2 linked regions of the Coturnix japonica genome follow. The protein of the gene in region 1 interacts with the protein of each later gene in a biochemical or structural test. Links are inferred from orthologs where the notes say so. Each region holds a gene or a part of one and is shown on either strand. Other genes may lie near its edges.

Region 1 (9,834 bases):
TTGTAAGTCAGTAGTGTACCTTAAGAAAACTGATAAAAGTTCAGGGCATCAAATTAAAAATGCTGAATTACATATAAAGATTTGTCATTTGTAGAAAAAATGACTGAACTTGTAATCAATTATATGCTATGTTTCCTTTACGGGTAAAATTCCAGAAATCTTTCTTAGGGTTCCTTAAGATTCTTTTCAGAGAAAAGATGTCCAGGTGTAGTTCAGAATGTCTTGACTTAAAAACATTACACTCCCTTGAGTTTATTAAATTTCTCCTCTATATTAAATTTTTCTTCTAATCTTCAAGTGGGAGATGGTCTCCCAAAAGAGATGATAGTTTGATATGAACAAAAATTGAATCTAAACGATTTTCAACATAAAATAAATATTACTGTATTTTGATTTAGTACAAAAAAAAAATTCAAATTAAATCCTGGGGTCCCTTGTATATTTGAATTTCACAGTGTCTTAAATTGTATAATGTCAACAAGCACACACAGAGTTGAAGCTGTATGATTCCACATAGAATCAAGCAATAAAGAACTGCAATCCACTGATCTCATTCTTCTAACAGAATTGCATTTTCTTGATGAGGGGCTTCCACACTACTATATACTTCAAACACCTCAGAGAGAAAATACAATTTTTTCTCAGAAATAATCTGCGTAACGGTATCAGTAACACACAGAAAAAGAAATCAGACCAAAACAAAAACAGAATAACAACAAAAACACGCTCCATTTTCAGCACATACTAAGTGGAAGCAGAAAGCACAGGAGCTTGGAACATCAAAAAGAAATCTAGAATATTAGAGTCTTCCATCTTTGGCATAGTGCTTGTTTGGATATGAAAAGGAAAACATACAGCTCTCATCACCTTCTTCTCTCAGGCCTCCCACTGCCAGCACAGTAAGAAACAGAAAGAATTGTGAGATGCTGTGTAACTCACTGTGTGTGTCACAGAACACATTTCCCTTTTATTCTGTCTATCTAAATTAAAACTCTCTGAATCAAGATCCCTTTCAAAATAAAAGCAATAATCTAAGTTAACAGACTCTTTTAGCAGGGTGTGCTGTGATAGGACACATGGAATTGATTTCAAGCTAAAAGAAGGTAGATTTACATCAGGCATAATGAAAAGGGTTTGTTTTTTGTTTTGTTTTGTTCTATAGTAAAGGCAGTGAGGCACAAAAACAGGCTGCCCAGAGAGGTGGTACATGCCACATCCCTGGTGATATTCAAGACCAGGCTGCACCAGGATCTGACACCCTGATCTAGTTGTAGATGTCACTGTTCTGTCACTGGGGGGGGGGGGAGCCTGGACTGTTTGACCTTTAAAGATCTTTTCCAATTCAAACAATTCTGTGATCCTATGAAGACCTTTATATTTAATTTCAGCTTTCTTCCTGGATTGACGTGTAATGCCTCACAGCAGGAATCCTGCAGACACTGATCCCTTGCACACTCTCACAACATATATAAAAGGATAGTCCTCCCTTCTATCCACCCTCACAGTGTTCAAGATTGCTTTCCTGCAGCACAACTGCACTACTTCGTTCACTAAATAGCCAACCTGAGTCACTGGCACATCACTCCAATAGAGAAGAACAAAACACGTTGTAAAACACACTAGTTAACTGCTCACTCGTTTCTTACCCAAGACCTTCCTGCTCCTTTCCACGGCAGTTCTCCTGGTCTGTTCAAACATGGCTTCAAGATCGAAAGTCCGAGCCTTCTTCCCTAAAAACACACACAAGGGGGCAACTCAGCACGGCTCGCCCCGCTGAGAGCCGCTGTGGGCCCTCCGAGCAGCGTGAGTCGCCCGGTCCCGCAGCTCCCCTCCCGAGCCCCATAGCCGAGGGCCGCCGGCCTCAGCATCGCTCCCCGCTCCCTTCAGTCGCCCCCCGCCCGGCACTGAAACGCACCGAAACCCGAGAAGCCCATGGTGGCCGCCAGCTCCGGGTCGGGTCCCGCCAGCATCTCAGCGTCTGCAAAGAAGAGGGGAGAGGGAGAAAATAACGGCGGTCAGCGAGGGGTGACAAGGCTGAATCCGGCTCAGCCTGGCCCGCCACTCACCGCCTTCAGCAGCCGGCGACTCCATGCTGCGGCCGGCCCGGAACCACAACAGCCGCGGCAGGAAGCGGCGGGGCGGAGCGGGACACGGACAGCGGCACCGCCTCGTGGAGGCACGGAGTGTCCTGAACGTGGCGCTGCCGGGGCCAGCAGGGCCCCGCCCCTCTGCCGGCCACGAGGCTTTTCGGAACGGGCCTGGAAGCTGAGGACACCAGCAGCTCAGAGCCTTTCCCAAACCTCCGCACAGCTCCATGCCGTTCCCTCGGGCCCTGTCGCTGTCACAGAGCTCAGCGCTGCCCTCCGCTCCCTGTGAGGAGCTGCAGCTCCTCTGCTCTGTGCTGAGCACTCCCAGGGCCCTCAGTTGCTCCTCACACATTTTGCCTTCTGGACCTGTTACAGTGTGCTTTAAATAATAGTAGCAGTAGTCATGCTAAGGCTCGTAGTTAGGCCTAGTCTGTGTTTCTCACGTATCTAGGAATGCAAGTTGTGTTTCTTATGAACCCGAGCACGGATCTAAGTAATAAATCTTGCTTAGGAACAAAGCACAATGTATGTTAAAAATTAGGTTTAGATTTATGGTGTGATGGTAGAGCGGTTAAGCGTTTTAGAGAAAATGAATAGAAAACAGAAACGGGAACATCCAGTAACGTCACAGATTGAAGGAGGAGAAGAATGTACAGCACATTTCCTTAGGTCTTTGTGGGATAGTCTTACCTAATTGTAACCAAGGAAACATAACAAAAGAGGACGAAGCAATCCTGAAGAAAATGTATATAAACCTTGTGATTTCTTTATAGTTTGGGGCTCTGACTTTGGACGCTAGTCCTCAGGCTACCGGGGCCTCAATAAAGCACTGCATAAAACGACTCAGGTTTAAGGTGATGGGCAACAGACCCATCTTCATAGCCTTCTGTTTAACACCAATAGTTGTATGTTTCTTTAAGATGAATAAGCATACAGATTTTGTATAGAACACGGAGAAGTTAAACTGGGACAATTATCACATTGGAAAAGATAATCAGAATTAAACTAAATGACTTGCGGAATCAAACTCTATAACACAGAGATAGGTTATAAAGCAGGTATGTTTATTCCAGCGCCGGGTGCAAGGGGGATAGCTCCACCAAACTTGCACACTGACTTGTAAAATTGTGACACAGATATAGGTACATCTAATACATAGTCAATGATTTCTCAGAATTCTGATACATATTCAATAGTTGTTTAGCATGCAGACCCCCTCTTGTTCTTATCAGGGGGATGCAACTCCTCTTCTGGTATTTACAATATCTATTCTCCTCCTTGCCTGATGTCTTCCGTGAGCTCTCACTCCTTATCTGCATCCTTCCTGCTCTCCCAGGCCCCTTGTTTCCTTTACTTGTTTCTATAAGCTACCTTTAACTATCCTCCTTTTAGCCCCCCTTTATTCTAAATTCCAGCAGAGCATGTTTCCTGCTTCACTGTTCATAAAAGCGCTCACAAAAGAGACTCACAAGGAGCAATTTCCAGAGAGAGATCCTTCCTTGGTGGCACTCAGCCCTTAACGGGGTCTAGGAGAGCTGCAGCCAGGCTCCAGCCCTTCTGCTCACACACAATACTAACAGAACTTCCCATTTCAACTAGAGCGGGTTGAGAGTCCTGTTTCCCCCAATAATTTCGCATTAGGGATGTAACAGAATACTTTTATTTCTTGCCACATTTTGTCTCACAAGTAGCATGGGTCAGAACTGCACACAGGAACCAGCAACAACAAGCACAGCGCTGACGACACTGATTCCCCCTCCGACACGCCCCGCCCGGTACGCGGCGCCGCAGACGGAGCAGCGGAAGCGGACAATGCAGGGAGAGAACAGCAGAACATCAGCCCGCCTCTTCCGCCGCACAACCGCCACTCTCCATCTCTGCCGACGGAACAAGGAACTACGTCACGTCGTGAGGCCTGCCGGGATTTGGCGGGTGCGGGTCGGCGGGCTCGCGCGGTCGGTGTGTGTGCGGGGTGGTGCCGGCCCTCAGCCCGCTGCCGCTGTGCAGCCCCGCCGCCATGCCTGCTGCCATGAGCCCCACGGTGCCCGCCGGGCATGAGGCGCTGGAGATCGCGGGCCGCGTCATCGACCGGCAGATCCAAGACGATCGCTGCTACCCGGACCTCTCGGAGCTGCTGGCCGTGCCCGCGCCCGGTGAGCACCTCCCCGTAATCCTGCGTCGCCTCGGCCGCCCCGCTCCCGCTTCCCCTCCTGTCGCCCCGCCGCCTTTCGAAGCGCAGCCTCGTGAGGTGTCTGGAGTCCAGGCTCCGCCGTCCTTCCCGGGCCCACATGGCTTCTTAGAGTCCCGGCCGCAGCGGGGCTGGATCTGTGGCGGCCGGGCCTCGCGGCACACCGGGGCTGTAGTAGAGGCAGCAGAGGGGGAAGAACGGGCGTGTACTACTCCTCAGTCCTGTCTCCCACTGGAAGGGATTCGGGAGTTTGGTTTTCCGCTCATTTTCTCCCGCAGGCTGCTTTGAATGACTGATTTCTCGGCAGCCACATGTCACGTGTAGTTTGGTTGTTCTGAAAGTAATGCGTCCTTTTTGATAAAAGGAAACTGCAAGGGATACAAAGAGCGAAGTGACACTGAAAGGGCAAATTCCTAGCTACAAAACACTATTTGTCAACATAGTTGCCATCATTGGCTACACATTTTCACCTGTAGTGGAAATGAACCTGCATGCCACAGTCTGCTTTAGCAGAGCTGACCCACTGCTGCTGCTGCTGAAACATTTTCTTGTGCTCACACCCACTGTTCGGTCACTGTAAGCATTCAATAAACAGTGATGGATGTCAGTGGGTGCCATTTTTAGATACGGAGAAATTCAGTAACGTACCTTTGCTTCCTATGCACTTTCACATCAGATGCCGTTTTGTCAGACTCCCCCTCTGATGCCATCTGTCAGAGGGCAAGAAAATATAGTGCAATATTGGCAGGGAGGTTCATTGTCTACTGCCATACTCCAACATTTGCTTCTGATGTCCTGGACCAACAAATTAGGAAGCATTACTTTCAGAACAGCCTTCCCTAGTTAAGATTTAAGGTACAACTCTTCTCATACACTTGTTTTGTCCTTTTTGAAACATCACAGCAGCATCAGCTACTGTGTACAGCCACCCACCTGTCTGAGTGAGCAGTAAGAAAGCACTGTAAAAGTGCAGGTGATCTGATCAATGTGCATTCAGTGAATGCGTTCAGACAAGAGTATCTATTTCTTGATACCGTAATGAGTGTGTAGACAAAGTGTAGCTGCCTATCTCATCAGAGAGTTGCGTTAGGTAAGATAATACAGAGGCTTGGAAAGTTTAAATTTAAGCTAAGAGCTAAGAATACACTTTTTCTAGGTGAATGAAGATGCTCCTGGGTTGTTCACATGACATTTATTGCCAGGTCATATGATGAAAAAAGGGTAAGAGAGGATCATGGAGAAGGCAGCATTAAAAGTAGTCTGGGGGACAGATGAATTATCCTAGGAGTTAGCTTGTAAATCTGTTTACAGATTTATTTTTACTGATTAAGGAAAAAAAAAAAAAAAAATCAGGGGAAAATAGAGAATTGTTTTATGTGTGAAAACACCCACTTCTTTAAAGGAAAGCTTATTTTTGTTGTTCTTAATTGCAGGTAGCCCTACTGTTTCTGGCATGACAGATATGGATTATCCTTTGCAAGGTCCAGGCTTGCTGTCAATACCTAATCTTCCAGAAATCAGCTCGGTTCGCAGAGTCCCGCTGCCCCCAGAGCTGGTGGAGCAATTTGGACGTATCCTATGAAAAATAATGTGTTGGGTTTTGTGTGTAATAGTACTGGTATTGGACTTCTACATTTTTATAATCATTTTTTCTTTAATACTTCTGTCAGACTCCTATTAATGAACTTTGATATTGGTTATATTCACATTTCAAGGCTCCAAGTGGTAATACGGTCAATTTGTGTAGAGGTGCTGGTGGAATTAGTTCCCGTATGAGAAACTTCATATTTATGGTACATAGCTTGTTTATTGCTTTATATAGAGCAGTTTTTGTTTTTTGTAATATTCCAAAGGGGATTGTCCTTGTTGGTCTAAACACATTTAGTCCTTACATTAGTAATACTTCAGATATGCAATGCAATTGTATGATGGGAGTATTTCCAGAAATCAGCAGAGCTTGGCTAACAATTGACAGTGATATTTTTATGTGGAACTATGAAGATGGGTACGTTAACACATTCTTGATTATATATTGTTGATATTATGTCTTAACTAAGCATTTGTAACAGTTGGAGATTGTTTACTTGCAGTGTAGAGGTGTGCTGTTCTGTCAAAGTTACCTTGATTTCTATTAGTTTTCACTAAAACTTTTAAGTAATACGTGTTGGAGGAGTTTGGGGAGTTAGCAGTAATGCTGACAAATCATCTAGAGATGAAAGAACTAAAAGTGCTTTTTCTTAGAGTTCAGCATTAAATGATATCCTATAATTCCTATTTTAATATGCTAGGCTTTGATCATGCTAAAGAAAGTAAAAGCATAGAAAAAGCGTATTAATTGCCTGACTGTTCTAAGTAGATTGGGTAAGTACAGTGGTCAGTGGTTATTTATGATAGTGTTTTAACTATATATTCTATGTAATAACCATTTCAAATAGCAGTTTTTAATATCCAGATTGGTCAGATTCTTTTTTTGCTTGTATTCTTGTGGGTTTTATATGTGTATGAATATTAAGAGGAATTTATTTATAGAATTTGTTGAGTTTTGTTTTCTCCTCACATCACTCCTCCCCTTACATATACATTGTATAATAAAGTATAAAGCACATTAATTAACTATTTACCAGATAATACAATTCTTTATGGTGTTAAGTTGCTAGGGAGGAGGTTGGGACTTGTTTTTGTTAGATTTTTTTTGTACGAAAAAGATGCTATATATGTTCCTTCCTCTGGATGTTAATTGTCATTACAGATGCTAGTTAATGTAATTCAGTGGACTGTGTAAATTAACTAAATCCGAAACCATAAAATAGTGCAGTTTGGTTTCAGGTTTGAAATGTACCTTTAGGGAGATGTGTCATTTCATTCTGCTGGATCTGTTTTCACCCAAAGCAAAAAATGTAGATACCTTCCAAACATTACGGTGTATATTCAAAGTGTTGTAAGAAGTATTAAGAACTCTAAAATATGGGTATCTGATATTGTTTACTGTGCTACTATGTGATATGTTACGCAATTTATGCACTTGCGTGTTTTCTTGTTTTGTTAACAGCGGAGATCTGGCTTACTTTGATGGCCTTAGTGAAACTATACTTGCAGTGGGTCTTGTAAAGCCAAAGGCAGGTAAGAAGTATATGGCAGTGATTAGGCTTACATAGTAACTAATCTCCTATGTGTGGTTTTTGTATGTACTTCCATAAAAACCTTTGTTTTACATGTATATATGCAATATAAATTGTTTTGTCTTTAGATACATGATGTAATAAATTGCAAGTGAAAAGTATTGTTTAAGTCACAATGATAAGCTTGAAAGAAATCTCATGTTGTACTCGCATTTGTTAATTTGTTAATACATTGCCACAATAACTTCCTAGAGATTCTGATTTCTAGTGCTTGCAGTTCTTTCAACACCTGAACATGATATAACATTTAAGTAGATACTGAAGTAACTTTATAAAAGAATCCTAATTAATTAACAAGTAAAGTGTTTTGAGAAAACAATGTTTTTGAGTTCTTGTATTTCATGAAGCAGAAGCTGAGCTGCTAACTATTACTCCTTCGTAGCTCTAGAATTTTCTAGACCACAATCTAACTGTACTACCCTAACTCTAACAGCCCTTTGCTAAATCATGTCCCTGGGCACCACATCCAAACTGTTCTTAAACACATCCAGGGACAGTGATTCAGCCACCTCCCTGGGGAGCCTATTCCAGTGCTTAACATCCATTTCTGTAAAGAAGTGTTTCCTGATATCCAACCTTAGCTTACCTTTGTGCAGATTGAGGCCATTTCCCCTTGTCCTGTCACCATTGAGAAGAGACCAACACTGCTCTGACTGTAAGCATCTTTCAGGTGTTTAAAGAGAGCTGTGAGGTCTCCCTTCTGCCTCCTTTTCCCCAGACTAAACATCCCCAGTTCCTCAAAAATGGCTGTTACCTCTAAGCATTTGTTGCATTGATCTCATTAATATGGTGGATACAATCATTGTGAGTCTTGAGAGCTTGACTGCAAAGTAAAATTTGATATTCTTTCCTTCTTTAGGTATATTTCAACCTCATGTACGACACTTACTTGTTCTGGCAACCCCTGTGGATATCGTGATCTTAGGGCTCAGCTGTGCAAATACACAAACAGGTAGGTGTCTCTTTCTTATATTTCTCCACCTATGTGAATTACAGAAATGGTTGTGCATTAACAGTTATATAAGTATCTACTAGTTATGTTATTACTAACAAATAAAAATAAAAACAAGACCACACATCTGCTAATTTTAAATCATGTTAGAGACATGGTACAGTAATTTCATTTTTATAGGATGAGTACCTTCTGGATCCAAAACTGACATAGGACCAGAGAATTGTAGTGTTCACTTGTTTAAAGTGAAATAAACATTTGAAACAGATTTTCCTGTTATTAAACCTTATGAGGGGAAGAAGAGATTGTCATGAGTCAAGATAAAATGGCGATGAATGCAGTTTATTAATCTAGTTGTCATTTGTTTCAAACAACAGAAAAAAAAGAAAAACAGAAAAAAATCTGATACCATTTTTTATGCTATGTATATTAATAGGGAAAACAAAACAAAACAAACAAAAAAAAAATAGATTTTGAGAAAACTAGAGAATCCTTTGTTCCCTTTATTTTTACTTTCTTCCAGTGAAAGGGTTATGCAGAAATTTGATTCAGAATTGTTGGGATTTAGAGAAGATAATGATATTTCCTTTCTTAGAAGTGTGTACAGTGAGTTCATTTAGTTTTAGAAACAAGATTCATTACTCTGTGGTTCATCTTGAATAATAGCTATTATGGATTTTTTTTTTTAGTAATTATGAAATTTCCTGTAATTTTTCATGTTTACTGAAATGCTTCTTATTACAGGCCTGATGTTTATAAAATCTATAATGTTCATAGAACTTAAAAACTAAAATCTAAGGAGTTCTTGTTTATTTAAGGTACTGGATCACTCAATGACAGTTTGTCTGGTGGAATGCAGTTTCTACCAGACCCTCTCTATTCACTCCCTACTGACAACACTTACATTTCTGCAATAACATCCACTGATAATGGACGTATCTTTTTGGCTGGAAAGGATGGCTGCTTGTATGAAGTAGCTTACCAGGTGATTATCTTTTATTTTTTAATGGTTATGTGGAAGAGACTCTAATAAGAGTTCTAAAACATGTTAAATCTACCACCTTTTTTCTTTTATAGTTGTGTTGTGTGGTTTATTTGCCCAGCAGCTCAGAGGTCTAACATGAAAAATAGCAATACAGCTTTGGTCAGCCTGAAAAAAAAAAGTTCAGATAATGATAACCTGCATCCTTTTCACACAAAATTGTTTTTGTAATCTCTTAGTGCTTTCAATTAAGTAATACATACTGAAATTAATGGCATGTATTTGGATTTTTACTTGTTTTCACACTTGCAATGTTACTGCCTTTTCTTCTTAGTATAGCTTTTAGTTTCTTTTTTCTTTCATTCTACATTTTCTTTCAACACTGTCTTTTTTAAATTGCAGGCTGAGGCAGGCTGGTTTAGCCAGCGATGTAGGAAAATCAATCA
Region 2 (9,974 bases), on another chromosome or scaffold:
AGCTTTTACAACCTCTCTTAAACCAAGAGCACTTGGAGCAACGTTACATTCAACAGAGACAAATGTCAAGGCTGACTGGCCAAATACCTTTCACCAACCATCTCAAGATGTTGTTTGTAAGAAACAGGATGCAAATGCATCACCAGAGCTGAAAACAAATCATAATAGCGAGATGCAATAAATAATAAAACTTAAAGTCTCCCCAGCGTGTTTCCATGATTGATTGCTCTGTTAAGACTCCTTACGGCTTTGAGGTATTTTCATTTTGTGAACAGAACAGCACCAAGCAAATGTTTCAATTCTGAAGTCTATTAGTAATCAGAAATGCTGCATTTAAAGCATCTTCTGCACTTCTAAAAAAGGAAAAATCCTCAGTGGTCCATAATTTACTATACAAAAGCTTATAAAAACACAAAGAACAGCTTCCATCACTTCCAACAAATCAAACGAGACTCTGTTCTGTCCAACATAAACTTCTTATTAAACTGAAACCAATGGATGGAACGTGAACTCCCTGTCCATCACAGTCCAACGCGTGCACTTAAGAAGCAGCTCTGCCAGCATTGATATCCAGGGAGGATGAAGAGTGCAGCAATTCAGGACCTCCAAAAGGAAGGCTGCAGGAAGCCCTTTGGTAACGGGATGTCCTTCTTCTGGAGGCTTTCCTAGTGGAGAAAAGACAATGAAACAAAGTGAGGAAAGGAATAAGAAATAGATCTCATAGTTTGCCATCCCTTATACTGTTAATGAAGCATACAGAAGTTTGTTTGTTTGCAAACTGTGGTGTATTAAAACACGATAGCTTCGGTTTAACACAACATTCACAAAACAAAATGCAGCATTTAACAGTTCTGCAGGCTTCCTCTAAAATAACCTGTGCAAAACACAATACTGCACAGATGCTACAAAGAGCAGCTCCAAACACCTCCTTCCTCACTCAGCTAATCAGGGCAACAGCAAAAGCAAGCGAGCTGCTGACGAAATTCAGCTGTTAGAAATGACTCAGCACAACCCTCCCCAACCTGTCTGCCTCCTCTCACTGCCACCAGCCTTCACTGAATATCCGTTACATCAGAATACATCAACACTGAGAAAAATACACCTGAGGTAAGAAGGAAGCGAGATGCCCAACATCACAATTATCATTAAGAGAATTCAGTGACCAAAAGCCAGGTTACACCGTAGTTACAAGGCTGGACTATCAAGTGTGCTGCTGGCAGCACCAGCTTCATTATTGGAATGATGCACGTATTGAACAGAGCAAAGGAAAGAAAACGATTTGAGAACTGAAATATGCTGTTTTACCTCCAGGAATTGCTTGAAACGCGTTAAAGAGGCCTTCTGTCCAACGTTGGTAATTGCTTCAATCCTGCAGGAATAACAGCGTGTCTCAAAACCGACTCAGCTGAGTTTGATTTACAAGCAGATAGAGAGCGAATGTCAGAGATGGGAAAAGGTGGAAGAGTCTCTTAAAAGCAAGCACTCGAAAGGTGAAGAGCGGGACTATTTCCCATCCGAACACAACCATCGTACCGTGGGATGTAGTCTTCTTGCATCAGCAACAACAGCTTCCAGAACTGAACGTGGTATTGTTTCATCAGAGCATTGCCACACACCTGCAGTTCGGAAACAAAGATCACATTGCAGACCTGGGCCTCAGATCAGCGTGACACCTTCCATCACCTTGTTTGGTATCAATGAGAAAGAATCAGCTGCTACATGCGCTCACACTGCGACATCACTGACCTCCAGGAAATCATAGAGCAGCGTGGCTGTCACCACCACCAGAGGTTCCATGTTCAGCATCTGAGCGAGCCAGCACCAGCCATAGTTCAGCCCATGAGGATGTGCCTGTAAAGCAGTAAAACAATGCTACACAACATGCAAAACGCTATTATAAAAAGACATTGCTTTCAACTTCCATTCTCTTTCATAGAGTTATTTTACAACAGCCTTACATACAACTTGATTGTGATGAAAACACTGCAAAAGTAAAGGTGTAGCAAAGTTCTGACTGTGCTGTTACACATCCATACCCCTTGTTTGTTCCCATAAGGCCAGCGGAGCTGAATGAGAGCAGCGTACAGACGAATCAGTCCTGACATCCGCTTAAGAAAATGATCTTCCTCTTCCATCTTAGAATCCTGAACATGATACCCCAGCATCCTAAATAGGAGACATTGCATTATTAGTACAACTCAGTGCTTCACATGAATCTGTGCAGCTCTCAGCTTTAAGTCAGCTGTGCTGAGATAAGGGATACTCTAAAACTAAGAATTATTGCAAAGGCTGATTGTTACATTGTGGATCATATTTTCCACTGGTTTATATCGTGCAGAATCTTTAGGTTCTGCAGTGGATATTTCAGCCGAAATCAAGCTGTGGCTGTTATCTGCTATTTGAGGAGGACAAGGAAGATGAAGCAAAAGAGCATCCATTATCCCTAAAAATACTTCCAAAGGACACAGCACCCTCCAGGGCTGCACACTTCTGAGTAAACCTTCAGAGCCTCTGCCAACATGGCACAGTGCCTTGTAATCAAAGATGGAAGAAGTGGAGTTCATTCAGGAGAATGTATTCTTTGTCCTTCTAGAGCAGACGCTGAAGAACTTCAGTCATTAATTTACCTCTGATATTCTTCCATAGAAGTCCCCTCCTTGTATGCAGGGTAGAATGGCACGGAATAGGGGCACGCCTTGTGCAGGTGAGCTAAGAAGAGCTCTCCGACTCGAGGGTGCATTTCCCAGATCCCTGATATCACCAGTGCAATCGGGAAGGCTGACTCACGGTGAGAAGCAACCTCTTCTTCTCCTTGTTTCTGGAAGGGGGAAAGAAACAGTTAAAGAAGGACAGCAGCATCCCAAAGAGCTTCCTAAAGCACCAGTTACATTTATCTGCTCGATAAAGAGAACAGTGCCTCACCACAAATTTCTCTGCAAGCTTGTAATAAACAAAATCCAGGCCTTGTGGGAGCTGAGTCACCAATACAGTTTCCCCTACGCTCTGAACAGGCTTTCCAGAGAGCAAGTTATTGAGCTTGTCAAATATCTGTCTTAGCTGAGAGCCTGTAAATAGAGCAGAGATGTACAGATAGGTCAGGAAAAAGCAGAAGAGCCTTAATCAGATCCCATCAACAGATCTGGGCCCTGAAGAACGAGGCTCCTCCAACTGCTGTGATTAAAGAAACTGAACCCTGATGAAACAAGGTGTGTCTGAAGGAACTGACATGCTTGAAAACCATGAGCAATGCTGTGCTCCAAAGAATTGGGAGCTTCCTACAGCAGCTCTCTCTCATAGGGGTAATCATAGAAACTGGATACTTGGTGTCCTACTAAAATCAGCAGCTAAAGGCATTCATTACAGTTGGGTTCTTAGCGTTTTCCTGACCTGCAATGGTCGAGATCTGGCTCACAGGGATGGTAACAGCTTTCTGCAGTTCCATTCTTATCTTCCTGACCTGCAGAAGAACAACAACAACAATTAAAAACCCCACCAGCACTCTGAAAACCTTCACAGAGCAAGAGGGCTGACCAAGGCTGAAACGCCTTCAGTGACACCACAGTGTGAACCAGCAGACTGTGCAGAGGCTGCTGTTGGAAACTGTGCTAATGAAAGCTCCCTCTTATCTACAGGAGAGGAAGATAACCACCCGTCAGTGTTCATCATTGTTCGTACCTCGCTGTCTTTGGAGCTGCTCATTGCACTGAAAGCAGCAGCACACTGGGCCGCAGCATCTTGAAGCTGTTGGTACCGTTTCATAGTGTCTTCCCCTGCCTTAACTGAAAGTGCTATGTAAAAAAAATACAGCAACAATTGGAAAAGTTAGAGAAGTTGTGTTGTCACAAGAATAACATTCCAAAGTAGCATCTGGCTAAACAGTAAAATAGACCAGAAAGAGAAAAGGAGGGTGAGGAGAGAAAATAAAACCCAGCCAACCGTCCTTCTGCTGCTTCCCTCCCGCTGGCTGTGCAGGGGCAGGAGTCTGAGCTTCTGCCTGTTGCTTCTTCAGTAACTCCTCCTGCTTCTGTTTCTTTTCCTGCTCATCTCTCCTCTTCTTTTCTTCCACTGCTGCAGCGATTTCCTGCTGCATGTTGGAGACCAGCCCTCGCATTTCCTTCAGGGCTTGTTCGGTATTGGCCACATCCAGCTGGGAAGGGAAACCTCTCTATCAAGAGACAGAGAAGGCAACGTAGCATCAGCCGTTGGTTCTGCTATATGTAGACTGCTATATCAAAGAGCCCAGAGCCTTGAAGTGCTGGGCTATGTTTGAATAAGCTGCTTTGGAAGAGAACAGTGGGAAGCTTTAAGAAGAGGCAAGCAAAGGGAAGAACAACTCTCTACCTCACTTGTGGTTCGGATGAGCTCTGACACCAGCCCACAGATCTGGTTGCCTCGATTGCTATATGCAGAAAGGTCAATTTTCGGCAGGTCCTTGTGCTTGTAATTGGGATCAATCTGCTGGTTCAGCTGCAGCAGTTCCTCCTGAATGGAATAAAGGCGACGTAATCTTTCCTGGCCTTCTTCCCTACGCAGCCGCTCCTGCTCCTCCTGGCGCTGCCTCTGCTGCTCTGCCTCGCGCAGCTTTAGGTTCAGTATCTGGAGAGAGGAAGAGGCAAAGTTCAGTAAGGGCAGCTTTGGGGACCTTCCTGCCTCGGGGAAAGGAAGATGCACAAAATCTCATGATTTTACACCAGTTATGGTCTGAATTCCCCCCATAGAAGTACTACAGAGCCTGGAATAGCAATGACTGACAAACTGTGCTGCCTGTCTGATAACACAGAACTATCACACACCTTTGCTCTGTGCCGATGCTCTTCTTTCAGCTTCTCTTGCTGTCCCTGAGTTTCCTTCAAACTAAAACAGGCACAGCAAAAGCATTCCATTAAAGACACGAGCAAGGAAACACAAACACGCATATACACCCCCACACAGTACAATACAAGCGTTGTCAAGTATTAACCCCCCTTTGATTAAACATTATAACATCCCAAGGATACCAGAGTCACTCTCACCTCTTCTCCATCACTTCCCGCAGTTCCTGGATCTCCTGACGCCGCTTCAGCTCCTTCATCTCATCGAAGCGTTTCAGCTGTTCCCTCGCCATGTCGTACGCTGCTCTCACCATCTGCTCCTGCTGCTCCTGCCGCTGCCGCAGCCTCTCCTGCAGGATGCACCTCCATGGAGCAGCCCAATTCACACCAAGGAAACACACATAAAGCCAGCGATGTGATCTGTGTGACGCTGTCCTACACCAATATCCCACACAGTGGTTTAGGCTCAGTCATGCTTTTATTTCTACTTACCCTTCCCTTCATCCTGTATATCTCCTCATACATCTGAATGCAGCCTTCAACTTTCGCCATTTTAGATACAGGAGGGATGGGAAGGACTTCGACATTCACCTCCAGCACAGCGGGATCGTTGTGTCCCTGCGGAGCCGGCACAAGGTGGGATCAGTGACTGCCCCTCCAACACAGAGCTACCAACATTCATCAGGGCTTCACCAACCTCACAGCCCCACAGCTCAGCTTCCCTGCCAGCCTCCCTCCTTTCCATCAAAGGGAACGATGCTCTTTGTACCCACTTTATCACCCCGGTTATGATACATAGAGCTGGAGCAGAGCAGCCTTTGCCCCGCACGTTAATGGAGCACAACACAAAACGTATCAGCAGCTCTCAGTAATTAGAGTTACCTTGGTTTGGCTCCTCGCTGCAGCTGCGGATCCCTGCCCCTCCTCGCAGCCGGACTCCGAGCTCTTCTCAGCCGCCGGATCTGATCGCGGAGCGGCACCTTTGGGTGCAGAACCGGGCGGTGCCGCTGTCTGGGCCGCCGAACCGGCCATCTTGTCCAGGACCCACCCGGCGTACGAGGTCAGCATCAGAGGGGAGATGCATCCCTCCAAGATGTCCTGCGGAGAACGGATCGGCAAGGTAACGGTAACGCACGGCCGGGACGGGCTCCGCCATCGCGGCCCACCGGGCTCCTCACCTCGTCCCTGTCCGAGTGCCGGCAGTATTTGAGCCGCCCTTTGCTGGACGCTCGCAGCGCTTCCAGCGTCTCCCATCGCAGATCCCTGCCCTGCATGGCCGACCCGGAGCCTTCATAGGCCGCGCCGTCATCCCGCTGGGCGCACAGCGACTTCCGCTTCCCCAGCCGCGCCGCCATCGCCCCCTGGCGGCCGGGAGGAGCCGTGAGCCCGGCAGGGAGGAGCAGCGGGTCCGTTACCGGGTCGGTTGTGCCGCTGCTCCTCGCGCTTTGCACCCAACAGCCGCTGCGGGCGTTGCGGGGCGGGCGGTTCGTAGGCTGTGTGCGTGCACTGCTCCTCCAGCCCCTCCAAACAAAGCCCAGATGCCTTTGTGCGCAGCGCACTGATAACAAACACTCCCATATCATCAATCACAATTTATTATATCGTTTTCTCCATAGCACCTTTAGGATTTCCTTTTAAAAAGTGACACACCAAATAACCGCGTTCTCAAATAACGATTATCTCAGAAAAGCTTTATGACAAACAACACCCCCCCGTGCACAGCCGTAGGATAGAGTAGGGTTAAAAACAAAAGCAACGTTGGCTTTAATCCCCACCAGGAACCAGCCGCAGGGAGGAGCAGAACAGGGCACAGAGCACAGAGCATCACAGGTTGGTTTGATGGAGGCACTGAGCAGCAGCTGATCAGTGCAATGGGCTGCCAGCTGATCAGTGCAATGGGCTGCCAGCTGATCAGCGCTTCATGCACACACTGAATTCACACAGTGAGACCCGGCTGAGGTTGAGCTGCAACCTGCCCTTTGAATACAGCTGGTCTGGGCACAGTCCTGGGGCTGTTTGGGCTCAGGAGGGTCAGGGTTGGGGTGTGGGGTAAAGCAAATTGAGAACACACTAAATAAAGCAAAGATCACTGAGTACAACACGAGTCAATGTAACAAACAAACATAAATCATCATTTCTGCTATAAAACTGTTTGCAAACACTGCAGTGCTTCAGAAGAACCTCTTGTAAGCATAAAGCCCCAGCATGGCCCCTATTTTCAGCTTCTCGCCCCCCTGAGGGGTGGGTGGGCTTCCACCATCCCATCCATGTAATAACAAGAAGCAGAAATAGAACATGATCAACCCCAGGACACAGAACAGGGGGAAGGAAAAAAATGAAGTGTGGGAAAACAGCTCTGACAAACATGAACACAACTAAAAGCACTGCTGGGCTGAAAGGGCTGAAACCAGCCAGAGCTCAGAGGATGAAAAGGGCCTTTACCACTGTATGCAAAACCATCTGGTTTTGGGCACAGCTTACAGAATGACACCAACCTCCATCACCATCCATCACCAGACCAGCGCTGCTAATGCTCTGCATGCTCAGACTGCATGCCGTCACCATCCCATCACCTCCTCCCTTCAGTGACCCTGAAATTTCTCCATTCTCAGCCCATCTTCTACACTACGCATGGCTTTGACACAGTGCTCATTTTGTGCTTCAAAGCAGAGGTGCAGAGCAAGCGCTGACCTCATGGAGAAGAACGAGAGCGGCTGGGAGAGCCCAGCAAGGCACTGTCAGCAAACACGTTGGCATAGGAAGATTTGAGGAACTGGACGTAGTTCTGCATGCTGCGGTTTGTGCTCTCCGACTGCTCCAGCCGGTCCTTCAGGTCCTGCAGGCGGCTCTCGTAGCGGCGCTCTGCCTGTAACAAAGCACAGAGCGCAGGATGAAGGACAGCACAGCTCACCCTGTCACTCCTTAAGTTGTTCCAAGAAATCCCTGCAGGCAGCAAAGATGAGCACAGCAGTAGATGGCGTTGCCATGGGTGGTGCTGTAGCCTTTATCGTTTGTTGTGCTCGTTCCCAACATCATTCAGCAACCGGACAGTGAATAACAAGAGACAACTGCTGCCAGCACAGCCAGCACTCCTCACAGATCACTCACATCGTCTTTGTTCCGCCGCAGCTGGCTCAGCTCTGTCTTTGTCCTACTCAGCTGTGTCTCCAAATCCAGCACCTTGGACTGGGCTGCCCTCTCTCTGGATGTTGCTCGTTCTCGAGTTTGTTCGACCTGCACGTAACAGAGAAACAACCTTGTAGGAGAGGTGTCTGTGGAAAATGATTCTGCCCTGCCTTACTGCCCGAAATCCCCTGCACGTTTACTTGGACATAAGCAGCAGGTCAGCCCAGGGCTTTTCTTACTTCTGTTGCAAACAATAGCACGGAGTTCCATTTCTCAAAGGTTTGAGAACTATCAAACGGTACCAAAACATCTTTTGCATTCCATCAAATGTGATTATTTCAATAGTTGGGTCATAGGCTGGGGAACATTTCAGTTTTACAGCCTGGGTAGTTGCAGGGACATAACAAACAAGAACCCCTTACCTGTCGTTTGGCATCTTCAATGGCCATTTCCAGCTGACGAGCCACAGAGCTGCACTCCCGGGTCTTCTCTTCTAACCGCAGCTGGCACTGATGGATGGACTCCTCACGCTTTGCTATGACCTGCAGGAACTCCATGTTCTGGGCGCTTGTTGTTTCTAGTTTTCTAGGTTAAGACAAGGCAAGAAAACCTATTCATTTTAAATGGAGAGCATTTCAGACTACCTTTTGGTCAGGTCTTGTCTGGTCTGGGAGGTGACTCTGTGCCCTATTAAATACTTCTTCATTTCTCTAATCAGAACTCCAAAGACTGAGGGACACTGAGGATTCACACACACACCTTTCTCCAGATGTTGTCACTAAGAAGAACTGATAAACATGGATAAAAACCTCCAATATTCAGTAACATCAAAACTGTCCAGCCGGGCTGGTACCACAGCTGTTATCTGCTGGGCAGGCACAGTCCTTTCTAACAACATTCATCAGGTTTGCTGCAAGAACCTACAAATCCCTCTCTAGTAGACAGTTACTGATTAGAGATCCCTGTGAGACGAGTAAATGTGCAGAACCTGGAGACCTGTGGGGCACTCGAACAAGACTGGAGATGTTTCAATTCTGTGAAAAGAAAAACACAGAGTACAGAAAGGAAAAGTTAACGGAACAAGAGAGCCTCATGTTTCTAACCTTTCTAGCTCCTCCACCTTCAAGGTGAGCTGCTTTTTCTCCTCCTGGGCAGACAGATACCTCTCTCTTGTTATCTCCATTTTGTCCCCCTGGAGCTCAATCTAAAAATCACAGCCATTAGTTACTTTACAGAACAGTCACTGCACACACACGACCAACCCCCTCAATAAAACACACGCTGCTCTCCAGGAAGGAAATGCTCAGTTCATATTTCTGGAGAGTCCTAGAAAAGAAACACTGGATAGAAGGCAAAGCTCTGAGCACACAAAACATCATTTCATTGGAGCTTCCAGCTAACGCTTAAATATGATAGGTATTATAATATTTCTCATATTGGGTATGAGAAAGTTCTTCACTACTACAAAAGGGAAAGCCAGGTTGGTAAAGCTTGCATGCAGAGCAGACACCTCTAAGTACAGCAAAGCACACGCATTAAGAACAGCCACATACCTGACAGGAGGCCACAGAGACACCACAGACTTAAACACGAGGAAGGTTTACCACTCCAAGCCAAGGAGAGTAAAGCTGTCAAGACTATAAGATTATTTGCTGCATCCTGAGGCACGACTGTAGATGTCCTGCCTGTCTACAGCTGTCCTGGAACACCTACACAGTGCTCCTGGGAACATAAAACAGGGACTGGGAAAACAACCTGAGACGAGGGTGAAAAAACAAGCAAAAGACCAGAGGAGGGAAAGCCAGCAAGGTGATGGAAGTAACAGAAGGGAGCGGTGACATCTGCAAGCGTTGTCATGCTGCTGTTCAGGTCCCATGATGGTTTTGCACCATGGGATTCAAAACCTTCCAAGCAGTAAGGAATGCGGGTAGCTACGCTGCTAGCTTCTCACACAAAGACATGGCACACACCTTTATTTTGCAGTGCACGTTTAATCTTTTCAACAAGAGACAAGAACAGAGACGGAGCGGCTCCAAC

Evidence for each region. The genes of interacting proteins can lie anywhere in the genome.
Region 2: the proteins of NUP155 (region 1) and GLE1 form a complex in vitro, tested with the Homo sapiens proteins (2 studies listed by BioGRID). The link is inferred for Coturnix japonica from reciprocal best matches to the Homo sapiens genes NUP155 and GLE1.

The regions. Positions count from the first base shown.
Region 1 is NC_029547.1:10,554,288-10,564,121, reverse strand, and holds the start of NUP155 (nuclear pore complex protein Nup155), read left to right. Parts: upstream 1-4,104; coding exon 4,105-4,240; intron 4,241-5,708; coding exon 5,709-5,846; intron 5,847-6,183; coding exon 6,184-6,280; intron 6,281-7,324; coding exon 7,325-7,395; intron 7,396-8,313; coding exon 8,314-8,406; intron 8,407-9,224; coding exon 9,225-9,391; intron 9,392-9,790; coding exon 9,791-9,834. Other genes in the region: WDR70 (WD repeat-containing protein 70), read right to left, coding at 1,647-1,730, 1,916-1,978, 2,067-2,091.
Region 2 is NC_029532.1:3,853,213-3,863,186, reverse strand, and holds the start of GLE1 (nucleoporin GLE1), read right to left. Parts: upstream 6,257-9,974; 5' UTR 6,167-6,256; coding exon 5,990-6,166; intron 5,910-5,989; coding exon 5,694-5,909; intron 5,430-5,693; coding exon 5,304-5,429; intron 5,162-5,303; coding exon 5,013-5,161; intron 4,855-5,012; coding exon 4,794-4,854; intron 4,597-4,793; coding exon 4,342-4,596; intron 4,166-4,341; coding exon 3,937-4,165; intron 3,789-3,936; coding exon 3,676-3,788; intron 3,458-3,675; coding exon 3,388-3,457; intron 3,066-3,387; coding exon 2,923-3,065; intron 2,819-2,922; coding exon 2,628-2,818; intron 2,167-2,627; coding exon 2,037-2,166; intron 1,852-2,036; coding exon 1,747-1,851; intron 1,617-1,746; coding exon 1,534-1,616; intron 1,370-1,533; coding exon 1,306-1,369; intron 666-1,305; coding exon 597-665; 3' UTR 1-596. Other genes in the region: ODF2 (outer dense fiber protein 2), read right to left, coding at 7,504-7,677, 7,920-8,045, 8,360-8,522, 9,041-9,141. UniProt on the Homo sapiens protein: Required for the export of mRNAs containing poly(A) tails from the nucleus into the cytoplasm. May be involved in the terminal step of the mRNA transport through the nuclear pore complex (NPC).